4 linked regions of the Lonchura striata genome follow. The protein of the gene in region 2 purifies or fractionates together with the protein of the main gene of each other region. This does not show direct contact. Links are inferred from orthologs where the notes say so. Each region holds a gene or a part of one and is shown on either strand. Other genes may lie near its edges.

The links.
Region 1: the proteins of AMFR (region 2) and INSIG1 purify together in Homo sapiens (affinity purification with western blotting; 6 studies listed by BioGRID and IntAct, with this or other methods). This does not show direct contact. The link is inferred for Lonchura striata from reciprocal best matches to the Homo sapiens genes AMFR and INSIG1.
Region 3: the proteins of AMFR (region 2) and ERLIN1 purify together in Homo sapiens (affinity purification with mass spectrometry; 3 studies listed by BioGRID and IntAct, with this or other methods). This does not show direct contact. The link is inferred for Lonchura striata from reciprocal best matches to the Homo sapiens genes AMFR and ERLIN1.
Region 4: the proteins of AMFR (region 2) and UBAC2 purify together in Homo sapiens (affinity purification with western blotting; 4 studies listed by BioGRID and IntAct, with this or other methods). This does not show direct contact. The link is inferred for Lonchura striata from reciprocal best matches to the Homo sapiens genes AMFR and UBAC2.

Annotation. Positions count from the first base shown.
Region 1 is NC_134603.1:149,213,870-149,220,758, reverse strand, and holds the start of INSIG1 (insulin-induced gene 1 protein), read left to right. Parts: upstream 1-3,884; 5' UTR 3,885-3,949; exon of another isoform or gene 3,950-4,058; intron 4,059-4,327; 5' UTR 4,328-4,343; coding exon 4,344-4,740; intron 4,741-6,830; coding exon 6,831-6,889. UniProt on the Homo sapiens protein: Oxysterol-binding protein that mediates feedback control of cholesterol synthesis by controlling both endoplasmic reticulum to Golgi transport of SCAP and degradation of HMGCR.
Region 2 is NC_134615.1:15,556,583-15,563,727, forward strand, and holds the start of AMFR (E3 ubiquitin-protein ligase AMFR), read right to left. Parts: upstream 3,001-7,145; 5' UTR 2,913-3,000; coding exon 2,691-2,912; intron 1,285-2,690; coding exon 1,192-1,284; intron 1-1,191. Other genes in the region: NUDT21 (cleavage and polyadenylation specificity factor subunit 5), read right to left, coding at 4,852-4,873, 6,107-6,221, 6,616-6,691. UniProt on the Homo sapiens protein: E3 ubiquitin-protein ligase that mediates the polyubiquitination of lysine and cysteine residues on target proteins, such as CD3D, CYP3A4, CFTR, INSIG1, SOAT2/ACAT2 and APOB for proteasomal degradation.
Region 3 is NC_134609.1:37,327,769-37,335,548, forward strand, and holds the start of ERLIN1 (erlin-1), read left to right. Parts: upstream 1-4,766; 5' UTR 4,767-4,820; intron 4,821-5,706; 5' UTR 5,707-5,742; coding exon 5,743-5,855; intron 5,856-6,619; coding exon 6,620-6,701; intron 6,702-7,050; coding exon 7,051-7,097; intron 7,098-7,780. Other genes in the region: CHUK (inhibitor of nuclear factor kappa-B kinase subunit alpha), read left to right, coding at 276-385, 1,746-1,795, 1,914-2,010, 2,465-2,612, 2,942-3,081, 3,644-3,959. UniProt on the Homo sapiens protein: Component of the ERLIN1/ERLIN2 complex which mediates the endoplasmic reticulum-associated degradation (ERAD) of inositol 1,4,5-trisphosphate receptors (IP3Rs).
Region 4 is NC_134604.1:78,098,133-78,106,118, forward strand, and holds the start of UBAC2 (ubiquitin-associated domain-containing protein 2), read left to right. Parts: upstream 1-4,979; 5' UTR 4,980-5,047; coding exon 5,048-5,078; intron 5,079-5,558; exon of another isoform or gene 5,559-5,698; coding exon of another isoform or gene 5,699-5,705; intron 5,706-7,986. UniProt on the Homo sapiens protein: Restricts trafficking of FAF2 from the endoplasmic reticulum to lipid droplets.

The sequences.
Region 1 (6,889 bases), on a different chromosome or scaffold from region 2:
TCTGTTCTGCTCAGACCCCACCTGGAGTGCTGCATCCAGATCTGGGGTCCCCAACACAGGAAGGACATGGATCTGTTAGAGCAACTCTGGTGGAGGCCACCAAGATGATCAGAGGGATGGAGCACCTCTCTTACAAGGAAAGGCTGAGAGAATTGGGATTGCTCAGCCTGCAAAGAGAAGCCTTCAAGGTGACCTAATTGTGACCTTCCAGTACCTGAAGGGAGCCCACAAGAAACATTGAGAGGGACTTTTTACAAAAGCCTGAAGTGACAGGACAGGGGAGAATGGCTTCACCTTGAGAGTAGGTTTAGGTTAGATAGCAGGAAGAAATTCTTTATTGTGAGTGTGGTGAGACCCTGGCACAGGTTGTCAAGGGAATTTGTGGATGTCCCATGCCTGGAAGTGTTCAAGGACAGGTTGGATGGGGCTTGAGCAACCTGATCTAGTGGAACCCCCATGGCAGGGGGTTGGAGCAAGATGATCTTGAAGGTCCCTTCCAACCCACACCATTCTATGATTCTGTGATCTGCAGGCTTTGCTGCAGGTTCCTGAGAATTCACACAAGTACACTGGAGACCATTGATAAAGCAAAGAACTCAGGATGACAGACTGCTGCTGAAGTCGAAAGATTTTTTGAACTCTTGCACATAGGGTTGGCATAGGGAATCAGACAATGAATGTCACTAAATCCTTTCATAGAGACACAGGAGATTAAGGCTGAGCATATGACACTGGGAAGGTTTCTATTCTCTGTATCAATAGGAGAAATTCTTGAAGGTGAATAAAGTCAAAAAAGTCTCCAGTGAAGCAGAGGGAGAGCAGTTTTACACATAAAACAGGCCTTGCTCTGTGATTCTTCACCACTGCCTTTTGAGCTTTTATCAGCAGACAGCTCATGTTTTGATCTGGTTTAAGTAGGGAGAAAAATAACTTGTCCAAGTATCCTAAACTTCCCACGTAAGAGGCCCATGAGACAGCCCTCATGAGGCAAGCACATTGTCAGATTCTAGAACATCACAGAGTTTAACACAGAAAGTGTGAAAGAACAGGTGAAATTATTTATTTATGTAATGAGTAGCAAGGCTGAATACTTAGAGATTCTGCTGCCTTTGCTAAGGGATGAGATAAAAATAACGATGTCATTAATCTTACAAAGACATGTGAGCGCTTCTTTCCAGAAATAACTGTTAAGCATAAAATTTCAGGCATTAATCAAAGCATGCTGAGGCCTAACCTTCCTTAGGATTCCAAAAAGAAATGTAAAGCAACAGGACTGTAAAGCAACACGAACAAAAGGGGCATTTAACCTTCATTCTAAGTGTGTAACTTTGGGGAAAATATGCTCAGGGACAGGTTATTGACTAGTTTAGATTTGCACTGATTCAGCTGGTTTTAGCAAAGCTGCAGCAAGTTTTACCCTCTCAGAAGTTGGTCTCTGTTGTCTCAAAAGAAACCAGGAAGAAAGAAGGGCACCACCACATGATATCATGAATATGAAAAAAATGCATATAAAATATTCAAATAAAATATTCTGCAGGAAATAGCAAAAAAAGCATACTCACGAGGAAAGGAAAAACACAGGATGAAAAAAAAAATTGCTTAAGAGGTTCTTTTAGGAAGGAAAACTAGCAGATGCAGCACAAGGGAATATAAACTCTGCCCAAACACTGAAAATATGGGCAAGATTCAGGGGGGGAATTTAAATACAGAAATATATTTTTTCAAATAAAGTAGAGATGCAGCACAAGCAAGGATGAATTATATTTGTTTCCCATAAGCCAAGTCCAAGAAGAGATTTCCTACAAAGATGAATCATTTTATCTCAGATCCACAGTCCTGTTGATAAATCTCAAAGTAAGTGATTCACCAAAAAAGAATATTTCCCAGGGAATGAGTTCTAGCCCTTATTTAGAGCTGTTGAAGGTGTTTCTTAGTGGTGTGGGGATGCAGATAAATTGTCTGTGTCAATTCAAAGCTTGTACACAGTGGCCATGAGGGGAAGTGTTAGGTCTGCATGTGATTTCCTGAAACAAAATGTTGTGCAGAGGAACCCATAAAAAGCTGACAATATATCAAGGCTGTTTTCTCTCAAAATAGTTGACTGAAACTTTTTGTGCAGATCCAACTGGGTCAGAAAAAAATCCAAAAACAAATGGAGAAAGAGAAATATATTGTGTCTTAAAAAAAAATCTGACAGAAGAATCTGAACAATTTTAGCATATTAAAGTAAAACCAAAAGCTGTTTCAGTACTGTAAATAGCAACAGAAACTGAGTATTTACAATTCCACTTACAGAGGACACATGTACCTTGGTTCAGCAGTAAAGTCTGCCAGACATTACTGGGGTGATCCCAGCTGGCATTAAGAGAAAAATACTGGGCTCATCTGTCACTTCCAACAGTGGCACTAACAAATCTGTCCTGTACATTTTCCAAAGGCACTTTGCTCAGCAGGATCAGTTACGCTAACTCTTCCTATCCCAGCTAGAAAGGGATAGCCATATCCCAGGTCAATTTTACTCTTCATTAATGCAGAGAAGACCTGCCTCTTTCCATATCTTCAACTGATTTCATGTATTTTATTTGCTACGTTTATCACATCAGTGAAAGACGACTGGAACCACCACTGAGCACTGATCCTGGACCATCGTTGTGCCCATCATGGGCATGGCTAACAGCTACCCTTGAATGCTCAGTGCCATCCCTTGGGAAGCCCTTGGGTCCTGTATTCCTCCTAAGTGTAACAATGGCACAACCTCATGTGAAAAGATCTGCTGGACCATTGAGGCTAGCGAATAAACACGAAGCCCAGCAATTCCTACTGCAAACGCCAGCCTCCCATGTGTCCTGGAGAACCAGCGTCTCAAAAAGGCATCCTGGGAGCTGAGTCCTGCTCTGTGTACTCATTTTTTTGGTGCTGAACTCTACCATATAATATACAGCTCACACTTAACCATCCCTGACAGGCCTCTTCCCAAACCCTTGCAGAGTACAGAGGGTGAAGTTGTATTTAACTGGGTTTTTGTTATTTTGGTCTGGCAGGATTGTGACCTGAGCTTTGCTAGTGCTGGCAGAGCAGCTGCTCAGGCTGTCAGGGCCCAGTCAGGAGCCTCGGATCCTCCGGTCACCCCATGGCTGGCTGCTGACGCAGCGTCTGGCTTTGGCACCACCATCTTACGGAGTCATAGCCTTGGCAGGATCCCCTTACACCATTTTAGAATTATGACAGAGATCAGTGATCCCTTCGTCTTCAGGAGAGGCCACAGCAGACGCCTTCAGCCTTCCCCATTACTAACTGCCATCACCCAAAGGGACACGCAGCAGGCTGGGCAAGCACACGAAGGTTTGCCTGCAGCGGCCACTGACACTTGGGCTTAAAATGAGTCTGGGGAGATTCAGATTATATAGCTGAAAAAAAAAAAAATCACTTTTAGGGTGGTCAGGCATTGGGATAGGTTGCCAAGGGAGGTGGTGGAGTCACCCTGCAGGTGTTCAAGAAGTGTCTGAAGCTGGCACTGGGTGATGCGGCTTAGTGGTTTAAGGGCTACAGCGGCGCCACTGGGCTCACAGTTGGACACGATGATCTTAAAGCTCTCTTCGAACCTCGACCATTCCATGATTCCGTGACAGCGTCACCACCGCCGGCATCTCCATCCCTCCACCGCCCTCCCCTTCCCGCCCGGGAGCGGCGCGCATCCCGGGCGCGCTGCCGCCGCCGGCGGCGCGGAGCGGGCGGAGCGGCGGGCCCGGGAGGCGGGTGGTGTGTCCCGCACGTCATATCAGCCGCCCGCCCGCCATTGGCTGCGCCGCCTCACCCGAGCGGGGCCGCGGCCGCCCGGGGCTGGCGCGGCGGCTCCCGCGCCCGGCGCTCGCCCCGCCCGGCGGGGAGGGGACGGGCGGGGCGGCGGCGCGGAGCGGAGCGGCGGGCCCGGCGCTGCCTGCGGCCGCGGGTAGGTCGGCGGCGGGTAACGTGACATCCGCGGCTCGGGGTTTATAAACCTTACCCGGGGCGCGGGCCGGCGGCGCGGCGGCCGGCGCAGCCCCCCTCTCCATCCCGAGGTGAGCGGGACGCGGGTGCCCGGGGACAGACGGACGGGCCCGGGCAGGGAGCGATGCCCGTCCCCGCGGGGGCGGCGGGCCGGGGTCCGTGTGCTCCCGTGGGGACGAGGCGGCGCAGCCCCGGGGTTGCTCGGCCGGGCCGGGTCACCCCGCATCCCCCGGTGCCCGGCCGGCGCTGGAGGATGCGGCGGTGCGTGTCAGCGCGGAGGGAGGCGCGGCCCGACCCGTTGCTGGGGCTTTAGTAGCGTGTGGTTGTGCGTGTGTTTCAGGACTCCGGAGAAGCCAATGCCCAGGTTGGAGAGCTGCGCCTGGAGCTGTTCCTGCACCGCCAGAGGAAGGCACAGGAGCCAGCTGGGGGACACGGCGGCGGGGCTGGCCGCCAAGGTGGGCGAGATGCTGAGCTCCTCCGTGTCCAGCCCCTCGCTGGCGCTGGTGGGTCGCGGAGCTCGCAGCCCCAGCACCTCCAGCGCCAGCAGCACCGCCAGCAGCGCCAGCAGCACCTTGAACTGGAGTCAGCACCTGGTGCAGAGGAGCGTGGTGCTCTTCGTCGTGGGTGCTTTCATGGCCCTGGTGCTGAACTTGCTGCAGATCCAGCGGAACGTGACTTTGTTCCCCGACGAAGTGATTTCTACTCTCTTCTCCTCCGCCTGGTGGGTGCCCCCGTGCTGCGGCACAGCAGCAGGTGAGTGCCTGACCTCCACCAGCGATTTCAGCTTTATTCCTCATCCTCTCGCGGAGGAGGAGAGGCGGTGGGGCTGAATGCTTGAGCCGTGCGCGTGGGAGCCCCGCGTTTCCATCCCACAGCGAGAGATGCGAGCTCGGGCACTCGGGAGGGTGCGCGCCCGGTCCGTCCCCGCGTGTCCCGGGGCCGCTCTGGAGGCGGTGCGCTCTGAGGGCGGCCGAGAAGCGCGGGCTCCGCGCGGGCTCCGCGGGGCGCGGCGGTGAGCGCGGCGCGAGCGCGCTGGCCCCGCCCCCCGCCGCCCATTGGCTGCCGCCGAACTGGTGAGTGGCGGGCGGCGCTCGCCATTGGCTGCGGCCGCGACTGGCCACGGGCTGGGCCACAACAAGGAAGTCACGTGCGGCGGCGCGCGCGGCCCTGTCGCCACAGCGGGCCCCGCCACCGGCCCGGGCCCTGCTCCCGTCCCTGTCACCTCTCTGTCCCCTCTCTGTCCCCCGTCCCTGTCACCTCTCTGTCCACCGTCACCTTCCTGCCCCTGTCACCTGTGTGCCCCTTCCCCGCTGCCCCCGTCACCTGCTTGCTCTCGCCACCTCGCCCGCTGCCCCTGTCACCTCCCCGTGCCCTGCCTGCTGTCCCTGTCACCACTGCTGGGCAAGTACCACAGAAGGCTCAGGCCGCGGTGTGGTTGTCACAGCAGCTGGCGCATACTTCGTGGTTTATCATTCATAACACCCCCACCCCCCCCCCCCCCCAGTCCCTCTGTCTAGGCAAAACAAAGTTTTGGTGAAGGGTTGGAGGATTAAAAATGGAGATAAATTTTAGGAAACGAACCCACTCTTAACAGTTTTTAATTTGCGTTGAAAATACTTTAAACAACTTCTGCATATTTTTGTTTAATGCATATTTTGTTTAATGTTTTGTGTGATGTCTGCTTGTATCACACAGTGAAGGGGGTATGAATGATAAACCATAAACTCGAATAAATAATGAACTGTGTTAATTAATGGATTACATTAAAGGATGAACATTAAAGGGATGGCCTGGGATATTCTCCAATGAGAGTTCTTGTAGTCCTGTCACAGTTGGATTAAACTTTGGAATTCAGGTGTTAGCATAAGTTAAGAGTCCTGGTAGCTGGTGTCAGAGTAATTAAGCTGTTTCAGAACACGTCTCTATTGGAATAGCATGTTCTCTAGCCTTCTCTAACACAGAATTTATTACTCTTAGGAGTTTAAGGAATTAAAAAAAAAAAAAGAGCAGGAAAGGAAATAAATAAACACAGAAGTTGCACTTAGTAAAAGCAGCACATCTAACCCTGGAGTTGGTGACAACTCAGGGAGTTACAATCCCTAGAAGAATGAAACTCTGGTGTTCTTGCCAACAACTGAGCTAACACTGGCCTATGGTTTTCTTCTGCAGCCAACTTTCAGGCTGATAAAGGCTGAAAAATGCTTTATGGAGATAAAAACTTTGTCTTGTTAATTGTATGAGTAGTTATTTTTCCCTGATATAAGTAGACTGATGGCAGCTGCTTGTTTAAGTTCAGCTCTGCTTCTGTTTGGTATCAAAATTCATCTGACAACATGGACAGGAGCCCTGGGCTGACTTACAGCCCAGCAGAAAGAGAGAAAGCAGCTCTGCTAATAAACTTTTTAAGTCCAGGCAAATACTTAATTCAGGGCCTGATTCACAGCTGATGAATCATGTTCATAAAGCTGTCAGCCCTGCACGTGAGCAATGAACACAGATTGCACTCCTCGCAAAGCTTTTATTGTGCTTTGCTTTTATTGGTACAAGTGTTTGCTCAGGATGTCAAATGACAAATCTCTTTAAACAAAAGAGCTTCAAGTCAGATACCTTAACAATGCAATATATATTTAAAGGTTCAAAGAGAATGCTGCTTGTTACACTGGGGTTTTCACTTCTCTAAAGAAGAAAAGCTGGGTAATAATTGTGCTTTCTCCATCAGGCTTACAGCGGTGCGATGAGCACCTCGTTGCTTTCTCAAGCCCTTATGTGCCAAGCTAATATTTGGTGGTGCTGGAGTAATCCTTGCCTAGCAGCTGGTCCAAGTGGTGTTCCTTCTCTTGCAGCTGTGGTTGGCCTGCTGTACCCCTGCATTGACAGCCACCTCGGGGAGCCCCACAAGTTC
Region 2 (7,145 bases):
AAATTTATGAAACAAAATGTTTTGTTAAAGTATATGATGAAATCACCAGGAGTTTAGTTAAAACAGGCCCTGAGTTCCTTAAAGATGCTGCTGTTTCGGGCTCGCCAGTATTAATAAGCAGCTTTCCTTTACATGACAACTGAGGCAAACTCCCACTGTCTAAACACAAATGGACCCACACTGCTACTGCTTCTCACTTCAGTTTTTAAGAGGGTAAAGAACATCCTGGAAACCATCACCAGTTAAAATTCCACATCCTTACAGTCAACATGGACTGCAGAAAAAGTCGGGCCCATTGCAGTTTGATAGTGTCTTGGTTTTAATACACCACTCAGAGCCTCTACAAGGTATGAATTACAAATGCAATAGGCTTTGAGGGATTCACAGTTATTAATGAGGCTTTGTGTGCCTCAGTTCTGCATGCCAAAAATCATCATGGACTGATTCCTCCTATGGAACTCTTTTTACAGACTTTTTTTTTAATATGTGAACACACTCCAAACCACTGCTCCTGCATTTACATGAGCAACTTATGCATTTGCCTTGCTTTAAAAATATATATATAGAGATACTATTCAAGGTCTTGCTGCTGCTTTCATCTTCTGCAGGATCCTGTTTTTAAAAACTCTGCTTTCACAGTTCCTTTGCTGAATTTTTACAAACATTCTCACATAGACAAGAGCAGGACTAAACATCCTCTGTTTTCTGTCCTGCTCACCTCCTTTCTCTGGGGATTTTCTTGCCTACTGCCTCTTAAACCTGCAGGCTGATAAACCATCTACTCAGTGTATGAGGCTGGAAAGCACTTCTCCAGCAGTTATGGTACAAAAGAGGGAACTCAAAACTGCCAGTGCTGACAGCTACAAAATGCAACGGAGAAGTGCTGCCAGGTACAGGCAGAATAGAGAAGAACACATTACAAGTGTTTTGAAGTGAGGTGTGCTTGTAAGAAATCTAACAGAGCTCATTAAAGACACAGGATTTTTCAAGCTGACTGGGGGCTTATAAAATACAACAGGAAAAATTCCCTTCAAAATAAACCGGAAGCATGTGGCTGTGGATATGCTAGCTAACCAAATGGTAAGACATCCATTGTAAAATTTATTTTTCTTGTGCAGTTTCAGCAATTCCATATAGAAAATCACACCATGTGACTTTGTTATGTTTCAGTTTCCTTGTTTGCTGTCTCACCTGCCTCTCACTGACACGAAGAGGACCAAACACCATATACTGGATTAGCTTAGCAACCAGCATCAGAAAACAGCAGGCAGTGTTCACTAATACCTGGAAAGAAATAAAGCAGTCAGTGACAAATACTTTTGCCCTATTTAGAAGAAGTGAGAGAAGGGGAATGAACAAGTCTAACAAAACCTGTCATTGTTCACAGAACAGTATTAGTTGCCTTTTCTTTTGATGAAATTTAAGCCTGGCCTCTTCCAAGACACATGAAGTAGCTGATAAGTCTTAGCTTTTTTTTTCTAGAAATACTAACACATTCAGTTTGATACAGCAGTAAAGCCAACAAACTGCTCTACCACTTCACAACAAATTATTTCATACAGATTAGAAAATTTCATAAAAGAACATGGGGACAAAGCTTAGAGATCACCAAGATGCTCCTTTTGTTTAACATAAGGCAGATGAGAAAAATCCAGTTTGAATCTGTTGTTACAGTAAGAGGATTCAGAGGTTGCCTCAAAATATGCTGAATAGCACATATCCCTTCCGTAATAACACGGCTTGAGGCTTTCTTAGGAAACTTCTTTACAGCAAAGTAGCAAGAAGCAGAGCACATGGGCCTGGGAAAACTGCTATCTCATATTTGACAAAAGGATTTGTAATTAACTTTTGACCTAAGCAGGACACTAAAAAGGCTAGAAGGTAGATGATGAAGAAGCTTCACCCTGTCATTTCCAAAGGACATCACTTGTCCAGGATTCTTAAGGCTGCAAGACGAATTTTCAACAGGATGAATATATATGGCATATTAAAAACCAGCACCTCGGTCAAGTAAGTATGCTGTGAAGTGGATGTCCAACTACTGCCACCTTTGAGTGACAGACAGATGAAAAGTTCAACAGCAACAACTCAGCAAGGTATCCAATATCGCCTTGTTGAGCCTTTATTTCAACTGCAAATCAGTGAGCCAAAAATCATGAGCCATTATGAGGTCTGGGTTTTAAAAAGTACAGAAAATTATTTTCTCTTTTTTCTTTTCCTTAAACGGTGAGAATGTTTCCTCTTACCTACCAAACGTTCAGTGCTATTTAAAAGGAAATAAACAAAGGCAGCAAGGCTCGAGTACCTGACAGCCCCTTACTCTGATTTCTGGCAGAGCAGGTCGGGCAGCGCTTGGCGAAGCTGAGCGCTTGGGACCGCGGCAAACGCTCCCGACAGCTTCTCCCAGCCCCCCGGGCAGGACGAGCGGAGGCGCTCGGGGAGAGCAGCACAAGCCGCGGGCTGAACTCGGCTCTAACGCTGCCCACCGCAGCCAGGCAGGAAGGGAAGCGGCTGCGGAGGCGGCCCGGGGAAAGCCAGCCGAGCCCCCTTCTCTATTCCGCGAGCAGTTTTCAAACAACAATAACGAAACTCCCCCCGGGCCCGCCCACCTGCCCCCGGCCGCGGGGAGGTGCCCAGAGGCCGCCGCCAGCCCCGCAGGCCCGCAGGCCCCGCCGCCGCCCCGGGCTCACCCAGACGCAGAGGCTGTCGGAGAGCAGGTAGTAGGCGACGTCCAGGGCCCGCGGCCCGGCGCAGCGCTGCGGCTCGGCCAGCTCGGTGCCCGCCGCCCCGCCGGGCGCCTGGCTGAGGGCGCGGTAGGCGCTGAGGCCGGCGGCCAGCAGCGCCAGGGCGCTGAGCGCCGTGTAGGTGCGGAGGCTGGGCCAGGGGAAGCGCTCCAGGAACAGCAGCGGCATCGCGGAGCCCTCGCGAACGCCCGGCCCCGGCTCGGCGCGCTCCCCCGGCTTAACGCCCGCCCCGCCGCCCCTCCCCGGGGCCGGGCGAGACGCCCCCACTGGATAAAGGAAACAGACCGGGCCCGAGCCCTCCGCCCCGGCTCCGGGCGCCGCGTCCGCCCGTCACCCCGCGCGCTGAGTCACGGCCGGGGCGGCGCTTCCACCGGCCCGGCCCTGCCCCGCGCCGCCCGCGCCCGGGACAGCGGCCGCACCGCCGGAGCCGCGCCGGGGGGAAGCAGAGGGGCCTTCGGGAGCCCCCAAACCTACAGGCAGGGTGGCAGAGAGAGCGTAGAGACTGCAGGAGCAGCGCCCTTCCACTGACAGCCTGGAACAAGAATTAGTCTCGCAAACTACCGTGTGGTAAGGTGAAAGGTGCTCTTAAGTGCCAAGGCTCAAAAGCTGCACTCTGCTCCTTGTTCTTGCAGCATCTGACTTCCAAACTTCCACCTGCCTTTTCTTACTTCCACAGGCAAAAAGATTCTGTTTTCCACTCTCCTGCTACCTGTATTTCCCCTAGCTGGTAGCTGAGAAACCATATATTCTACTCACCATCTGTCTGGGCCTTCCTTCCATAGGACCAAAGTGAACAGCCCTTGCACTCTCCCAGCATTTTGCAGTACATTTGCCATACTGCACAGCTTCAATTTGACCACCAAGCTGTCAGGATTGTTCTGTACGTTGCTTACCAGTGCAGATGGCAGCAGAAGCAAGCACTTTGGCAAGATTTGGTTCTCTTGGCAGCAGGTGCTCTCCAACCCTGCCTTCATAAAAGAGGACAGTGCACAAGCAACAGTGCATCTTCTGATCACAGGCAGAACTTGGAAACAAATCTTTCAAAGACTCATTCATTAAGCAAAATTATGGAAGACTAAAAGCACTGTGAAGTGTCACATCCAAATGGACTTTATGTTTAGCCAAGCATGTAAAATCCCCAGAAGTAGAAAGATTGATATTTACTGCCTACAAGAAACTGAAATGTTGAGAAAAAGCAAAAGTGGGTATCTTTTGCAGGATGAGACGGCACAGGACAGCATAACATGGAACCACTTGCATGTGGCATTGGTTAAGTGTTTCAGCATGACCCTAATTCTGTCCCATAGCTAAGAAAAAATATACAAAATTAACCTCACTTTCCCAATTTTAACTGCAGCTCAGACCAGTCCAACAGAATTTTTGGGGTTGTTACTGTCTCAAGGGGGCACTGAAGGAACAGATGCATGCTGCATCTCCTCCAAGCCCTGTTACAAACCGATCGGTTCTGGTAAAAAAGGTAAAGGCTACGCTTGCCTTTAAGTACTCATTCTCCCTCAAAAAAGCAGTTCTGGTCTCCAAGTTAGACTTAAAACAATATTGAATCCACTTAAGCTATTTCATTTCTCCCTGATCCTAGGGATATTCCCTTCTCACGGATAAAGATCCCAGCATCTGAATGGGCCCTGAATGGCTTAGCTCCTCCTCATTCCAAGATCATCTGTATTCCTGAAGAAAATAATAAAGCTTAAAATATGCATCTAAGAGACAATAAGGAAAAATAAAAGAACTAATAAACAGAAGGAAAAACAAACCAAACAAACAAACAAAAAACCTAAAAAAAAACACAACAAAAAGCAAACCAAACCCAAGACAAACTGAATCTTAACCATATTGTTTAATGTTGTACAAAACAAAAAATTGGTGAGTATTACAATGATAAGGGATTATAACACTGGTAGCCCATTGCCATCTCTCTAGCTAAACAGTTGAAATTCACTTCTCTGTTCATACCCTAGAATGTTTAGTGGTCTTCAGGAACAGAAAGACTTCAAAAAATCCTTGTGTCACACATATTCGTTTCTCTACAGTTCAAAGCTGTGCTCACAGAGACGGCTTCTTCTACTGGAGTCTTCAGGTATATAGGAACTCAGTTGTAAATAAAGTTGAACCTAAAATTAAAAGGATTATACCAAGTGAGGAATTTTGATTCTTTTTTTTAAGGGCATTTTTGAATGAATAAGCAAATGTTTTGTTTTTGCTCTGGATAAGCCTCCACCTGACAGGACAAAAGTACATTTTTTCATAAGACAGCTTTACAGTATAGCAGTATATATATCATTTTTAACAGCCAATCCTACACTAGCATTGCACAACTGTCTCTTATGGTTTGAGAAGAACTAACTATTAACATTTCATGTCCTAAAACAAGGTCACAGATACATAAATCACAGTGAGAGTTACATTCCTCCATCAGCAACTCTTTTGCAGCACTTCTGCTACTAGACCAACCTTACATGTTCCAAGGGGAACACACAAACATACTGAAGAGAGAATTTTTCCCAGCTAAGTTTCATAAATAACTGTGGAAGCAAGCAATCCATCTCAGCTTCCAGGTGCCCAGCCTTTGCATGTGTCTGTTGCACCACTACCCAACCTGCATGACAGTTTGGCTGGTACTCAAGAGGAAATACCTGCTGTCTTTAGAGGAGGGGAAGCCAAAATTTGGGCTAGAGAGAAAAATACTCAGCAGGAAATAAGATTATGTGCAAGACCAGTGCTAACATACTTTTTTCATCATAGTAGGTAGGTGACAGAACTACTTCCCTGAGGAAGAGCTGGCAGGCTGTGGGACTCCTAGTATGCCTGAACATGCTCTCAAGTAAGAGACCAGTGAGCTCTGGAGAGACAAGCCACAGCCATTCCCAGGTAATAAAGTCAAAGCATGGTATACATTCCAAGAGAAAGGAAAAAATACAGCTGTCCCTACAGATATTTGTGTCATAAAGATGCTACACTTCATTAGCTCTACTAAAGAGTGTAAAAAAACCCACCACATTTAACCAGCACAAAGCTGTGATAATATGCATACCTAACTCAGTGCTTCAAATTTACATCCTGGCTTTAACTCTCCAGCTGTCTCCAACAACTACAAGAAGCTGCTCCTCAGTCTGTGCACAGCCTCATCCTCACATCTTCCATGTGTTCCTTAACTACAGCTGCTAGGTAGGACTTTGGTGCTAGCCAGTTGTGATCAGTGCCTCAAAAGTGTCCATGCAGTTCATCTGAAGCAGAATCTTTGGGATAGATGCCACCTTTTCAAGTTGGTTTCTGTAGCACCTTGCTTTGCTCTGGTGTCCCACAGGAAACCATGTTCCCAGAGCCACTATACAAATACAACATACCTGCTCAAAAGTTGAGGAAGGCTGGAAATAATAGGTCCATATCCTGGTGCGTTGTCATAGAGCTCAAACAGTGGTGCAGCAACCAGCTTGTAATTTTTGGGGACTGCAAACAAAGCTAAAAACAAATACAAGTTGATGAATCAAAAAAACCAGCACACATTCAGCCAAGGGATCATCATTCCCCACAGACCTCAAAACAAGTTCACTACATAGAGCACTCAACCAGGTTTATTGCTTTTTTAGTTAAATATGGGATTCACATCCTGTACACAGACTGATGCAAGCAGGAATAAAAATTTACTAGGAAGTCATGTTCAAAGGATCATCTACCTTCAAAACAAATACCAGCATTTAACTTTGTTAGTGATCAACCACAAACAACTGCAAGCATACACATCTTGGTATAACATACCACAACATACACAATCACAACTTTGTGTTCCTTGAGTGAAATGCAGGCATTTAAATATTGTTACAAATACAACCCTTTGATCCAAACAAACACTTACCCTTTTCTTGAAGCTGGACCAAAAATAGCTTTTTGTGTTCTTTTGGCTTTGTAATATGAGCTGGGATATATGGATACTAGAAGAAAAATGGTAAAAAACAGTTGTACAGAGCTTTGAAAATACTATGTAATCTTAAATGCTACTTTATAAATTATCAAGCCCTGTACAAGTTTTCAGTGTGTCATATATTATTCTTTCATGGCATCAAATAAAACCATTTTCATAAGAAAGTACTTAGGAAAGGAATGCTGTTGCTGTCACAACTATTGACAGGCTCTAAAGTGGCATCAATATCATAAGCAGTTAAAACAACCCAATAAAACAGAAATGCATAAAAGCAAACTAAGCAAACTAAACAAAGATTTTCAATATTAAAGCCCTTAGAAATAGGGTAGTGAGACTAGGGCATGTTCCACAAGCAGCAGTACAAGAATCTCCATTGTGGCTACAAAAGGAATATAAATGGTGCATATGTCTCAATGTAGAACTGGAAGCTACTACATCTAGTGGTTTCTCATCCATCAGGACAG
Region 3 (7,780 bases), on a different chromosome or scaffold from region 2:
TCTTAGTCTAGGAGACAATCCAGAGACACAGAGAGATGATGTATGAAGAAACTGATTTTTATCAGCCAGTGTTGGTGGTCAGAGGTTTGGTTGTAGGTGATACCATGCACTGAGAACAAAAACCTCAATTACTGTAGCAGTGCTGTGCCAAGGAGCTTTTTTTTGTCTCCTAAACTCTCCAGGCAGTCTGCCCATTATCTAAACAAGTGTTCTGGGGATCTTTATCTCCTTGATTGCTCTCCTTGAGCCTGATCTGTGCCCACATTTCAACTCAGGCTGAAGACATTGGCTACCTGGATGAGCAGATCATGGCTCTGCACACGGAGATCGTGGAGCTGCAGAAGAGTCCGTATGCAAGGCGCCAAGGAGAGGTCATGGAGAGCCTGTGAGTCCTGTGCTGCTCATTCTTACTGCAGAAAATTGGATCTTGTGTATTTCAGTGTCTGAGGGGGTTTTTTCCCCTCTGTAGCTGGTTCCCTCAGCGATTTTGAAATGCAAACCACAAGTACAGAGTAATGTATGGTTGATTTGAGATCATTTTGCTTGTGAAAGGAAAGATCCTACCACTCGTGGGACACTGAACTGTGAAACCTCATCTTTCAAGAGCCTAGTTCTAAGATAAATCTTGGTCTCAAGTGGGGATTTCCTTTTGTGTTGGAGAGGAATGACTTTCTTACTGTTGAATGAGAAAACTACATGAGCATTGTAAAACCCTATTACCTTCAGTATTTTCAAATCAAGGGTAACTATCTCATGGGTACTTGGATATTTGGAAAGTTGATTTTTTTTTTTAAGTATTAAAATACGAAAGAGCTAAATGGTATTTTTGATCTTGAGGAGAGATAGGAAGCAGTTACTGGGCTGCTACTGAGAGCACAAGTGGCAGTTCTAAAAGAAAAGGATTGAACAGCCATTAAACCTGTCAATAAGAGCTCTTCAGAACAGCTCTGACTGTTCAGGGAGGAAATGTGCCTGCTCCTGGTATGTTCTCCCCCCTCCCTCTTTGCAAAGTTGCTTTTCATCCTGTGTAGTTGCAGCAGAACTGGTGCACAGGGGAGGAAGTGGTGCAAAGGAGAAGCCACCTCCTGCAGCAGCTGCTCAAACTAACCAGGATTGTGCCTCCTTAAACATTATTTTTAAGCAATTCCACTGCTGCAGTTCCACCAGGATCAGGGCTGGGAAGCTGCTGCTTGTTTCTGACAGACTGGGATTTAGAACAGGGAGGATTTTGTTCAAGGCTGGAAGTTTTCAGTGTGACTTTTTGAAATGCTTGAAAGAAGTAATGTTTATTTAATGGGAAGAAGAGAAGCACGGTCGTCTTGCTTGTGATGCAGCTGTCTCTTTCCATTTACAAAATATCACTAAAATTCAGGCAAAAAATGCAGAGCAGGAACAAGAACTTCTCAGGCAGTTGTACAGTCAGAGTTTCAAAAATTAAATCAGATAATGAAGGGGAAAGGAATCACAGCTAAGCCATGGGAAGAATTGAAACTGAAAATAAGCTCCGCTTGGTGTGGTTTTCTGAGAAGAAATTGCACAGCTGGAGAAAAAGAGAGACAGCTTTGGGGAAAGTGTTGGATTCCATCACAGAAAGGGATCCCTGTGTTCCAAAGGCCATGCTTGTGGCCCACTGTAGGAGAAGGTCCAGTGTCTGAGTTCCAAAAGGCATCCCTTCACTGCAGTGCTTTTTCTCCTGAGTCAGCTGGCTGCCGACACCTGCCTGAATCATATTCTTCTTTTTAAAGGGAGCAGAGAGCCATAGACCTGTACAAGCAATTAAAAACACGACCTCCAGGTATGGAAGAAGATGATTTAAAGACTTTCACACTTTTACCCCATGATTAATTGTTCTGAACTGAAACCCAGGCAATACTGTTAGGATTTACTAATGTGGTGGTTGCTGGCCCTTGCAGATCATGCCTACAGTGACAGCACAGACATGGTGAAGATCATTGTGCAGACAGTGCAGAGCCAGGACCGAGTCCTCAAGGAGCTCTTTGGCCACCTCAGGTACTTTATGCAGACAAAAAACCCCAAACAAATCCAACTTGCAGCATTTGTAGCTTTGTCGTCAGAAAGGATAGGGAAAACCATGGAGGTCAGAACCCAAAAGGCTCCATTCACATTTCTCATAGCTTTAATTCTGCTCCTTTGTGTTGAGTTTCCACTTCATTTTTAAAAACATTGTTAGCATCCAAGAGTTCACTTTAAAATGAGGCAAATTCTGCCAGTTGGAAGTTGGAATACAAATCTTCAAAGGAAAAAAAAAATTAAAATTCCTGCAAAATTCAAAGGAAAAAAAGTTCCTTCAAATTCAAAGGAAAAAAAAAAAAAAGCAGTAGTGTTACAGAGAAGATAACGCAGTGATTTGTACATGAATTTTTCAAGTATCTTGGATCCCAAGATCCTTTTGGTTTTGTTAAAATGTGCTGGGAAGTGATTTTGTGTCTGCTTTTCATTCCAGCAAGCTCTTGGGCTGCAAGCAGAAGATCATTGACCTGCTCCCCGAGATTGAGGTGGCTCTGAATAACATCAAGGAAGCTGACAACTCAGTGATGCAGATGCAGGGAAAAAGACAAAGGGAGATCTGGCATTTGCTGAAAATTGCTTGTGTGAGTAGCTGTTGGGTTGTTTGCACTTCTTGCAGTGCCTGAGCCGGGAAGTAAACTCAGCAAAAAGGGGTAACTGCCACACCATGGTTGGATTTTTTTTTTCCTGTAGAGAAGGGCAGTCTGAGATGGTAAAAGCAGAAGTTAAATAGGTGCTTTCCTGGTTAGTTTGAAGTGTTTAAGAGTTCCCTTTTTTTGCATTAATTACAGTGCCTGAAGCCACCTCGTGGTTCCCACATCTCTGTGTGTGTTACCAGCAGTGCTCAGGTGCAATCCCAAATCTTCCCTATATATCATTGAAGCCTAAATTCTTCTGAATGTCTTTCTTGCAGACTCAGAGCTCCTCCCGATCCCTGGTGAGCTCTAGCCTGGAAGGGACAGCCTCAAGTCCAGCAGCCACATGGCTCCCCCAGAGCTCCTCAGGGAACACTGCTCCTCACCCTCTGTCCTCGCTGGCAGCTCCTGAAGATGGGTATGAGCTGCTGCTGGGGAGCAGCCACTGCAGGGAACTCAGCATCTCAGGGGCTTTGTCCTTCCCACAGTGGTTTCAGGAGTGTGTATGTCACTAACGCTCTAAAAAATCAGGGATTTGGTTGAACTCTCTATTCAGAAATCTCTGCTGTTTCTGAGCTAGTTCCACATGGTACATGCCCTGCTGAAGGACTGTGCATCCGTTTATTGCATGTCATGTTGCTCTTCCTTGGGGCTGGATCTGGTTCTTAAGGCTCCTCTCCCTCAGTCTATGCTGAGTTCTGTGGCGCTGAGGGGTTTTGCTCTTTGCTTCATTAACAATTCTAATTATGTTCTATCAGTGTGAAACCATTCTCCTTTGTCCTGCCACCTCCAGGCAGGTTTTTATGTCACCTACCACTGCACAAACTACAAATAACTTTTTTGGGTTGTTTGTTTTCCTTTTTCTTTTCTTTTTTTTTTTTTTTTTTTTTTTTTCCATCAGTGCAGCACCTTTTGATGGGGGTGTTACTTTTGGTGCTGCTTGAAATCCATCACCTTGGGGCTTTTTTCCCTTCCTGCAGGGAAAATTTTGCTGACGTGATCCGGGAGAATTTGAATTACCTCGAGCTCTTCAGCAGCATTCTGCAGGAGGTGAGGCAGGAGCAGAACAGCATGATGGTAAGTGCTGGGGCATCTGCCAGGACTTGGCTCTCAGGGGACACCCAGGGGTGCCCTGGGCATGTGGAGAAATCCTTGAATAGGAAAAGGTACCAGGTTGCTCCAAGCCCCATCCAGCCTGGCTTTGGACACTTCCAGGGATTCAGGGAGAGCCACAGGTTCTCTGGCACCCTGTGCCAGTGTGCATGGATACATGTCTCTTCCCAAAATCCCACCTAGCCCTGCCCTCTGGCAGTGTGAAGCCATTCCCCCTTGTCCTGGCACTCCAGGCCCTTGGAAATAGTCTCTTCTTTCCTGTAGCCCCTTCAGGCACTGCAAGGCCACAGTGAGGTCACCCTGGAACTTCTCCAGGCTGAGCCATCCCAGCTCTCTCTTTGCTCAGAGGAGAGAGGAGGCACTCATCCTTTGGGAATCCCGAGATCTCCCAAACTAGAGTGGGCTCACAGGGCTCCTGTGCTGTGCTGCATTGTGCTGAGAGCATCCTTTCTCACGGCAGTCACTGATTTTTCGCCAAGCAAGACACACATCCAGTATCCAGACCCTGCGCTCAGTCGTGTTTTTGCTCCTCTTCGCAGAGTTTCGACTGGAGCTGGCTGAAGTAACCCCAGGAGCTGCGGTGCTGCATCACCCAAGTGCCTTCTGTGTGCTGAGGGCCGCCTTCCCTGTGGGACATGGCGGTGTTTTATGGCCATCGCCGGTGTTTTATGGCCATCGCCGGTGTTTTATGGCCATCCCTGGTGTTTTATGGCCATCACCAGTGTGTTACTGCTATCACCGTGTCACCCACCGGCTGTCCCCCAGGCAGCGGCCTGGGCCCGGCCCGTGGAGCCTCCTGAGGGCGGGGGGCGGTGTGACCCATGAATGTATAGTGCGTGTATATAGAATGAATAAACTCGGAGCTGACAGGCCGAGGCCTACTCGCCATCGCGCCGTTGCCTGGCAACTGGGGAGGGGGAGGGGGGGGGTCGGTGGCGTCATCACCCCGCGCCGGCCCGGCGCGCCCAGAGTGCCGCGCGCCAGCGCGCGTGCGCGGAGGGGCTGGGAGCGCGGCCTCGGCGGCACGTGGGGCACGGGGTGAAGGTACGGGATAACGGTATAACGGGGTAAAGGTACGGGATAACGGGGAACGGGTAAAGGTACGGAATAACGGGGTGAAGGTACGGGATAACGGGGAACGGGTAAAGGTACGGGATAACGGGGAGCGGGTAAAGGTACGGGATAACGGGGAACGGGTAAAGGTACGGAATAACGGGGTGAAGGTACGGGATAACGGGGAACGGGTAAAGGTACGGGATAACGGGGAACGGGGCAACGGGATCGGGGTAAAGAAACGGGACAGGTATAGGGTAACGGGGAGCGGGTAAAGGCCCGGGACAGGTACGGGGGAATGGGATAACAGGGAACGGGACAGGTACGGGATAACGGGGAGCGGGGGAACGGGGTAAAGGAACAGGGCAGATACGGGACAGCAGGGATAGGGGTAAATGTACGGGACAGGGATCGGGATAAAGGAACAGGACAGGGATTGGGCTACAGGAACAGGTACGGGACAGGGATCGGGGTAAAAGATTGCGATAAAAGCAGGACAGGGGTTGGGATAAAGGAAACGGATTGGGACGAAGGAACGGGACAGAGATTAGGGTAAAGGGTAGGGACAGGGATTGGGATTGAGATGATAGGGACAGGAACAGGACAGGGACTGGGATAAAGGATTGGGAGGGCTGTGGGACAGGGATGGGACAAGAATTGGGGTAAAGGAACGGGTCTGAGACAGGGATTGGGGTCGTTATGGAGTAGGGGCAGGTACAGGGTAGGGATACGGGCGGGATGGAGAGCACGGGGACGGGGCCGGGCGGTGCCGGGGCAGTCCCCGCGGGCCCTGTCCCGTCCCTGTCCCGTGTGTGCGGGCGTGTCCCGGTGCCGGGCGGTGCCGGGCCCGGCGCTGACGCCGCTCCGTGCCGGGCAGGGCCCGCGGAGCCCGGCGCCGGGAGGGGATGCGAGCATGGCCATGGCCCAGGCCGGGGCGGCGGCCGCGGCTGCCAGCGGGCTCCTCGTCTTCCTGCTCTACTCCGCCATCCACCGCGTCGAGGAGGGACACCTGGCCGTGTACTACAGGTACGGAGCCCTTCCGGAGCTCGGCGCCCCGGGTCGCTCTGCCCTGGGCTCCCTCCGGTTCTCCCCCAGGGTTTGCACCCGTGCTGCTTCTGCTCCCTTCGCCCCGTGCAGAGCCCGCGTGTGCTGGGCTGGCTGAGCCCTCGGCTGCTTCTCCTGCCCCTCCTTCCTCCCTGCCCTCTCACACTGATCTCAGAGCTTCTCCGCGTCCCTCCTCGCATCTGTTGATCTCCCTCTGTGCCAGCAAGAGTTGTCACCTTTGTCCCAAGCAGTCGCCCAGCCAGAGCTCCTGCTGTGTCGCTGCTTTGGAATGCTTTCCCTGCCCTTCCTGCTCAGCACCGTGGATGTTTTCCTTTGACCACAATGGTGTTCAGCATTAACACCCCAGGGGGCTTTTCTCTGGGCGAGGGGCTGTGCCGAAATCCAAGCTGGCAGCATCACATCCATGGCTGGATTTTTCCATGGTTACCACTGAACTATTTAGAGAGGAGAAGTCTGTGTTCTTGCAGCTCTGTGCAGTGTTGCAATGTTGGGAGGGTTTGGCAATAGCTGCCTGCTCCAAGAGTTAATGGCTCGCAGGCTTTACGCAAAGTTGCAGCAGGCAAAGATCAGGTGCACTCAGCCCTTTTTCTGTGGAATTGCTGGCGAATTTAGGGCACTGATGCAACTCTCTGTGACCCCTGGCAGTTCGAGCTGTCCCTGCATGTTCTCAAAGGCAGCCCTTGCTGTTTGCACCTTCCTGAGCCTGTTTTCCTCCCTCTCCTCAGGGGTGGAGCGTTGCTGACCAGCCCGAGCGGCCCTGGCTACCACATCATGCTCCCGTTCATCACCACCTTCAAATCCGTGCAGGTCGGTGCCCTCTCCCTGCCCTGGGGAGCCACACTTGTCCCCTTGGAAAGCTCTCCCCACCGTGTGTGTGTGTGACACCGCTGGGAGTGGCAGTGTCCTGCTCAGGCAGGACAGTCCATGTCTGTGGCTGTCACTGTTCCCCTGCAGCACCGCATTCCAGAGCAGGGAAACAGGCACAGCTGCCTGTGCATCCCCCAAAAGGCAGGGGAGGAGAAGCTTTGCCTTCTGCCCACACCTGCAGGCATCACAGGGGTGGCAAAGGACATGCTTTTGGCTCTGTGGTGCCACTGTGGGAGTCTGGGCCTTCCTGGAGTCAGGTTTGTGAACAGTGCCTGTGTTTGTGTTGCAGACCACGCTGCAGACTGATGAAGTGAAGAATGTGCCTTGTGGGACAAGGTATGGCTTCCACTTGTATTTCTTCTAGATGCACTCCTTGGGGTCCTTTGCAGTGCTGGGACACAGGGATCGGGAAGGAAAGGCACCTGCCATAGAATTAATCCCAGATGTACACACATTTATCCCTCTGTAACAACAGGAGGGAGCACTGACTCTTGCTGGAGCTGTTCAGAGCATGTTTGCATTTATTGTGATGTTATCTTGAATTTTTCTGGGCTTCTCCCCTCAGTTCTCTGACACTCCCTTACTTGTGCTTTGCTCTGCCCTCAGACTGGTCATTTCCACTCTGAGTCCTGTGGCTGATACAGGTGCTGACCCCAGCAGCAGGCAGAAGGAAACAGGGAGTGGGAATCCTCCTGATGGGAAGGAGTTCATTTCCAAATGAAATTCCTGCTGGATAGTCAGGCTGATTCTTCTGTCAGCACAGACCTGCTGGAGTTGTAGCAAGCAGGAGGAGAGGGCTGGTTGAGTTGGGTTACAGATCCTGTTGTGCTGGTTCGTCCACAAGTTAAAGTGATGACTCTTCAGGGTAAAAAAAAACCCAGTGATTCTCCTTGTCTTTTATGTTCAGGGTCCTCAACAAAATTTCTGTTCAAAAAATTAAATCAGTGGTGGCACACAGTGACCACATTGAAATTAAAAGGTGAATTTTAGTGGCAATGTTAATAAAACAGAGTTAATTT
Region 4 (7,986 bases), on a different chromosome or scaffold from region 2:
AAAAGGCCTTTAAAAATCTTATAAATATCTTCTAACATCTGATTTTCAGAATAGGCAATTTCAACACAATCATACCTGTGTGGAACAATACAAATAATTTTTTGCATCTTAAAGGCTCTAGTGTTTTTGCTATCACTGATAGTTATATTGGGTAATTTAGCATATGCTCCAGATCGCAAAGGTACTCTTTGACATAAATTCAGTCTGAAATAGATGACTAGTGCTTGATCTCTTGTATGCATCAGAGAACACAGATATGCAAAGTACATTGTGTTATGCAATGCTATATGTAATTATTTGCCCTCCTAACGGATTCCTTAATTGGATCTTCTGAGCACTATGCTTAAACATTATCATTTTGCTAATGCTTACTATGTTTCACAATTTACTATGCAGTAAATTAATGGCCTTCAAATGAGTGATCTAAAATGCAGCAACAGCTGCTCAGACAAGGGCAGCTAGACCAGTGCATTTTTAATTCTCACAAGAAGTCTCATCTAAGTGAAATAAAACATGAACATAGGCAGATTGATTCTGATGCTTCTTAATTGTTGATTTTAATCTGAGTTTTTAATATTCTATCTTAACCTTGCTTTCCCAATATGTTTGTATTAGGATCTGGTTCCTGATTATGCCTGCCATATGTTCTTGTTTTTCACAGGATTTCAACCTTCATTGAAATAAATTTATTGAAAATAAATGTGACATGGAATTTAAGTACCTTTAGGCAGTGTTTTACAAGTACTTAGAGACCAAGCTGCTGATCAAGTGCTTGGTGCTGCACCTTGAACACAGAGATGCCAACATCTGGGTGCATTTGGTGCCAGTGCTTAGGATCACATGACTGATGGTTAAAAGGGAAGTGATGGTTAAGACCTGCAGTGTAAAACTGTATGTGGCTCAGCTCCAGATAAGCCAGTACCTTAAATTGTTACTGCATTGTCATTGCTTGCCATTCAGGGGGTCCAGCTGAAAAATGAGGCAGTGATGTGTTTGAGTAACTGAAGCAATAGTTTCCCACATTCATGTTACCAGGCACTGACATAGCATTCAGGTTTAAAATAGCATTTTAAATTTTGCAAAAATCACATGGCGAGAACCTTAACTAATGGAACATGTTAGAGTGTCCTAAATTTTTTTATAATAGTGTGATGGAAAATCAATTGCAAAAATATACAACAAAGCCCAATACTCCTTCAGGAACTCCATTGCTCCTTATTAACGGTACGCCTACCAGCTCTACTTGGAAAGAGCTAAGCTAGAAAACATTCTGTATCTTCTAGCTCCAGTAAAAAAACCCAAAACTATGTAATGAAATGTTAGACACACACTAGACTTTAAGAGGACAGGTCTGCTGCAGCATAAAGTATTTTTCACTTCCGAATGAGTGAAAGAAATTCACTAATTTTGGAAAGGTACAGGTCAAATCAGTCTGATTTCAGCAGAGTGAGTATCTGCCTTCTGTCCTTCCTCCTGTTCCAATGCAAGCTGCTATCAGCAAGCTGCTATCAGCAAGCTGCACTGCTCCTGGATTTTTGCAGGAAATGTGTGTTGCACAGCTGTTTTCCTTAACATCTTCTGTAACCAAACACAAAGGTTAGAAACTGTAGGGAGGAGTTACTGAAATCATTAAATTTAGCATTAACCTCTATGTATCTGTTCATATTTCAGGTAATTGTAATAACTGCAAGAGCTGCTATGAATGCCTTGGAAACCCTAGATGTCAAAGAGACAGAGAACACTTGCAATTAACCTGCGGAATCATTAACCTACACCGAGTTTAGTCAGAAAATTCCTAAGCAAGGTGTTACATTTCCATCCTGTTTTACTCTGCTGCTGTCCTTCATTCTATATGCCAGAGGAGCATCTGACTGTTGGAGATTAATTAGTAATTAAGAATTGCTTCAGAAACATCACAAGTTCAGAGAAGAAAGCAACTTAATCATTTTAGAAAATAGCTAGAAATTTAAATTCCAGTCTCCTGGGATTTACTTTTGAGCAGGAAATTTAAATAACTTTCTTTTGACCATACCACATTGACCCCACTAACTAGATGTAATAAACAAATGGGAGATATTCAAGCTGACATTTGAGCAGTGTCAAAGCCTTCTAAGCTTGTTCTGAGTAGATTAGTAGATAAGTGCTAGCCTTCCTATTCTGGGATATGTTCCAAAGCAAGCATGAGGACTGATGATTTCATTTAACTCCAAAGTAGTCAACACTTTATACTTAACAATGCAAATAATTTGTTTAATTCTTATGACATGCTACCAGTTGACAGTGATGATGTTGTGATAAAAATACCTCTCTTCTCGGCACTGAATCTGAGGGCAAAAACTACATTTCCTCTACTATTCAATCAATATGTTAAACTATAATTATTAGCAAGGGATGTGCAGTTTTCTCAAAAATACATAGTGGATCTCATCTGCTGTAATCTCAGAAATATTGACTTTTTTTTTTTTTTTAAACAAGGGATAAAAACATCAGGGGTTTCACAGATTCTGAAATATATTTGTAGACATTTATAAGATAGCAGCAAATAGATTGAGAGACAGTTGCCTGTATTCCAGCAGTATTGACAAATTTGCAAGGGTTTTGGTTTGCCAGATATTGCTACTCATCCAGCTTTGCTGTATCTGTCAATGATAGCAAGGCCACAGAGCTGCTTTCAAACTGGCCCTTAAACATTTCCCAAATGCATCCTCATTCAGTGGAATACATGCCTAAGTCTCTAGTATGTTCAGTGATTATGACTTGAATCCAATTCCAGTGCCCTACATTGCAGAGAAGAATCCCTCTAATATGATTACCTAGCAGTACATCAATCTAGGGAAATCTTCAAAGCAGAGCCTATAAAACAGAAAAATACTAGGTCTTGGCTCTTAGGACTGTAAACTTCTAAATAATGATTGCTCTGTCACTCGATTCTGAGAGCCTGTGAAAAGAAAAAAAAAAACAAGCTTTATCTTCACCACTGAAACAACATTCCTAAACCTATTACAAAGGCAATTCTGGAAAAGTTTAGATACTGGATAGGTTTTATCCTCACCTATAGTAAAGCCAGATCCACAAAAAGGCTTAATTACTTTAAGTGGAGGTTAGTCGAAAACATTCAAAATCGTAATTAATTAAGCCATGAGTACCTCATTAGATCCCAGCTTCAGAAGGCACCCAAGCTTTTCCAAAGAGGTTTCACGCTGGAGCTCTTACAAGCTTTGCAGGCTTTGCACCTCCTTATTTACCTTCCATTTCTTAGAAATGAGGGTTGCCTGTCACTTTTGTGTGGTTACAGGCATTCAGCAGTGCACTGGCAAGACAGAGTTTGCATATGTAGCATACAGCAGCCACAGTCATTTGCATTTGAAAGAAAGAAGGAAAAATTCTGTAGCAAATAATTTCTTCCAGCTGTGCTTTGACAGCAGAGAGTAAGCTGGTTTTCTGTAGCCAAAGACACAAAGTATGTGATGGGTTTCATGCTGTGAATCCAATTTAGATTCTTTTCAGAGGAAAGAACCTCAACTTGGGATAAGTCAGGATTTCTAATGTGCTCTTTGTCTCTTCTTCCTGGCTGGTTTAGACATACCTTCTGCTCTGTGAGCGGATTATGAGTCCCAATCCCACCTACCTGATGCAGGCCTTGTACAGAGAGGACAAGTGAGCAACAGAAATCTGAAGTTAGTGCTGGAAATTGGCCATTTAAAAGATACATGCTGATATGCTAATCTTAGCTGAAGTCTTTGCGGACTGTCGCCTTGGCAGTATTTAAGAGATTAAATTTACAAAGTTTCAGGAACTCAGTACTCTGGAATGCTAGCTAATAATTGCATTTGAATGCAAATATTAAAGTGCATTTTTATGATATATTACAAAATTTATGGAATACAAGAAATATATTACTTACCTAAAAATTTTTATTATTGGTTGCCTACTTAAAAATTGTTACCTAGCTGACAAATTATATTTTGCAGTTCCAGAGTGGCATTGGTTTTCAGTCTTGTACTGCAGTAAGGTAAATGTGATTTGAGGCCCGCATTTCCATCATCACATGAACACAAAGTGCACACAGCTCGTGCTGCAAAGCACTGTCACCTTTTTAAATGCCTAGCATGACTTATTTCAGTAAAATCTGAGTTCTGCATTTTCATTGAAAATGTCAGTGAAATTTGGTGCCCTAATAGTTTCAGCCTTATGATACCATATCTCCTCTGAAATCGGGATTTCAGCTCACCTCATATGGTGAGCTGAAATATGGTGCCTACCATCCTGTTGAAGAGCTGGAGTCAGATGTGCCATCAGAGCCCGTGGTGATCTCTTCAATGTGGTCCCTTGGTGGAGCCTGGGGAGGAATTAATTTGATCCTAAAGCAGACACCTTCATTTGGCCACCTGAAAAGCTCTCCAAACTCCGCTGTCTGTATTAGCTCTGTCTCTGTTAGCTGTAATGACAGCTCACCCACAGCTCTAATGAGACATTTACCTGCTGGACTCCCCAAATCACGGTGAGCCTTGAGGGACAGTTTTCCCAAGTGCAAGGAGTCAGGCTTCCTCAGGGCACCTACATATTTAAAATTTAAATCGTGTTAAATCATGAAATCACAGAATAGTTAGGGCTGGAAGCGGCAGCTTCTGGAGATGGATTAGTCCAACTTCCCAGCCAAGGCAAGGTCCCCTGGAGCAGGTGGCACGGGAATGTGACCAGGTGGGTTTTGAACGCGTCCAGAGAGGGAGACCCCACGCCCTCCCTGTGCAGCCAGTCCCAATGCTCTGCCTCCCTCAGCGGAAAGAGGCTTCTCCCATTTCTGGGAGCAGGAGTGATTCCAGAAAACACACGCGCGCCGGAGCGCCGCCGCTCACCCGCCGGGCCCGGCAGGGGGCGCCGCCCTGTCGCCTGGCGGCGGCGTTTGGCCCATCGCGGCCGCCTTAGCCCTCCCCGCGCCGGCCCCGGCCCCGGCCCCGGCCCCGGCCCCGGCGCGCCGCGGCTCCTCGGGGGCTGCCGAGCTCGGGGCTCCGCCGGCCGCGCCCGCCCGCCGGGCCGGGCCGCGGCCATGTTCACCAGCACCGGCTCCAACGGCTTCTGTGAGTACCGGCCCGCCGCGGTCCGGGCGGGGCGGCGCCCCGGGGTGGGAGCGCGGGCGGCGCTGCCGCCGTCGGCCCCGGGGGAGCCGCTGCCTTCGGTCCTCTCTTGGCTGCACTTTTAAATTGTACGGCGGCGGGAGGAGCCGCGGGTGTGTCTGTGTGTGTGTCTGCCTGTGTAGGTGTGTGCATGTCCGTGTGTGTCTGTGTCTCTCTGTGTGTTTATATGTATTTGCATACATACAGACCTCCATGCCAAGTATCAAAAAAAGAAAAAAAACAAACCTATTTTCTTAATTTGAAATTAGACTTATTTTTAAAACCAGTTTATTGACAAGGCAGACGTAAGGACTAACGTGCCCGTAGCTCTGCTTAGCTTTATTTTTATGCACAGCATAATTATAATGTAAATAATTTCATGTCCCGGTGCTACCTGAACTGACTTCACAGGTTTCTGGGGCTGGCTCTGAGCTTGTTTTACAGGACACAGACTCTGCAGCGTCTGGAAGCAGCAGTGGGGAGCTGACCTGGCTGCAGTGTGCACTTGGGCACCACACACAGTCCTAAGAGAGGCGAGGACAAATGATACGTCAAAGCTTTGCTGCCTGCGTGCTCCTTACAGAATGGGTGGTACTGTCCGTGTGCTGAAGGGCAGGAGGGCTCTGCAGAGGCATCTGAGCAGGCTGGATCAATGGGCCGAGACCCAACAGTATGAGGGTCAAAACGGTCAAGTGCCAGGTCCTGCACTTAGGTCGCAACCAGCCCAGGCAGCACTACAGACCTGGAGAAGAGTGGCTGGAAAACTGCCCAGAGGAAAACGATCTGGTGCTGGTTGACAGCCAGCTGAACATGAGTCAGTGTGGCCAGGAAGGCCAATGGCATCCCGGCCTGTATCAGCAATAGTGTGGCCAGCAGGACCAGGGCTGTGATTGTCCCTCTGTACTCAGCACTGGTGAGGTCACATCTCGGGTACTGTCTCCAGTTCTGTGCCCCTCAATTTAGGAAGGACATTTGGGTGCTGTAGTATGTCCAGAGAAGGGCAGTGGAGCTGACGAAGCATCTGGAATGCATGTCCTTTGAGGAGTGGGTGAGGGAGCTGGGGTTGTTTTGGCTGGGAAAAGGAGGTTCAGGTGGAAGCAAAGTGAGGGTTGCCCTCTTCTCGCAGGTAACCAGAGACAGGACAAGACCCGAGGACTTAGCCTCAAGCTGTACCAAAGGAGGTTCAGGTTGGACATTGGGAGGAATTTCTTCACAGAAAGGATAATTAGATATTGGAATGGGCTTCCCGAGGAGGTGGTAGAGTCACCATCCCTGGAGGTATTTTTAAGAAAAGACTGAAATGTGGCACTCAGTGCCATGGTCTTGTTGACAGGATAGTGTTTGGTCACAGGTTGGATGTAATGATCTTAGAGGTCTTTTCTAACTTAATTGATTCTGTGGTTCTGTTTGAGTGTGAAAGCACCCTCTGACTAGGGGAGGAATATTTCTGGCATTTAAAAAGGGGTGTTAGTTGTAGCTGTATTTTCTGTGAGGAATCCAAAAAAGGGAAGAGTCTTTTTCAGATGGATCTGATAATACTGTGCCTTGATTTTCAGCTCCTGATTTTTTATCTCTCTCTGTGCCCCCAGTAGATACTATAGAGGGACTTTTCAATGGCATATGTCTGTGTATAATTTTATGAGAAAGAATGTAGGAGGAAGAGTATCCTTGTTAGACTGAATGGGTGGAGAGTCATGGTCAGTATTTACAAGTTTTTCCAGGTTTGATCCATCAGAAGGATGAGTGGGAAATGGTTGTCATAAGAAGCATATATGTGGTAGGGAAAAAAACTAGATATCATTCTGCAGAAAGAAAATCATAGAATATCCTGATCTGGAAAAGACCCACAAGGATTATCAAGTCCATCTTCTAGCCCCGCACAGGAGAGCTCAAGAATCACACCATGTGTCTGAGAGCATTGTCCAAATGCTTCTTGAACTCTGTCAGGCTGGTGCTGTGGTCACTGCCCTGGTGAACCTGTTCCAGTGTGTGGTCACTTTCTAGGCAAATAACCTTTCTGACCTAAACCTTCCCTGATACAGCTCCATACTTAGTGTTATGCTTTTTTTTTTTTTCCTTCTCAAAACCAAATACAACATATGTTCTTACTGAACTTACCTGTTGACCTAAAGTGGGTTTTTAAAATAAGATTTGGCTGGTATGGGTGCACTGACAAACTCCAGTAGAGGTATGGATTTAGGTGCAGTGACATATGCTCACCTAGGACACAACTGTGGCAGTTTCAGGTGTCCCTGTGCCCTCAGACTTGCTTCTGTGTGTGCAGCAAATCCCACACAGGAGTGTGGGATTCTGTCACTGATGCACAGAATCTGATTGTTCAGGTAGTTAATGAATTGGTGCCTGATGTTGCACCAGAGAACTGTATGTGTGTATTCTTCCCCTGGGGCTTGGGAACCTCTGGCAGAAGGCAGTGTCAGTGGATGAGGGGACCTGTATGAGTGATCCTGAATGAAATAAGTGGACACCTGGTTCAGCAGCAATAGCAATGATCATGCCAGGGCACACTGAAGGCTCCTGCAGCCTGCTGTGCCACCTCTGACAGACCGATTAACATCTATAATGGTGGAACGAGGAGATGTAAAAGTAAAAATAAACATACCTGGTACATGGTATGACTGTGAGATAGGGAAGCCAGGAAACAAAGGACACCACCTTCTTAAAGGACAAAGACAGTTTGCCTCTGCTGTGGAAATTGTTTCTGTTATCTGGAATATTGGAGGAGCTGGTATGCTCTGGAAAAAAGAGCCAGTGGCTCTGGGTACTAGTAGGAGACACAGTGCAGACATATGCAAATGGATTATAAGAACACCAACCCAGCTGAGCTGGATTGCAATGTGCTCAGGGGCATCCT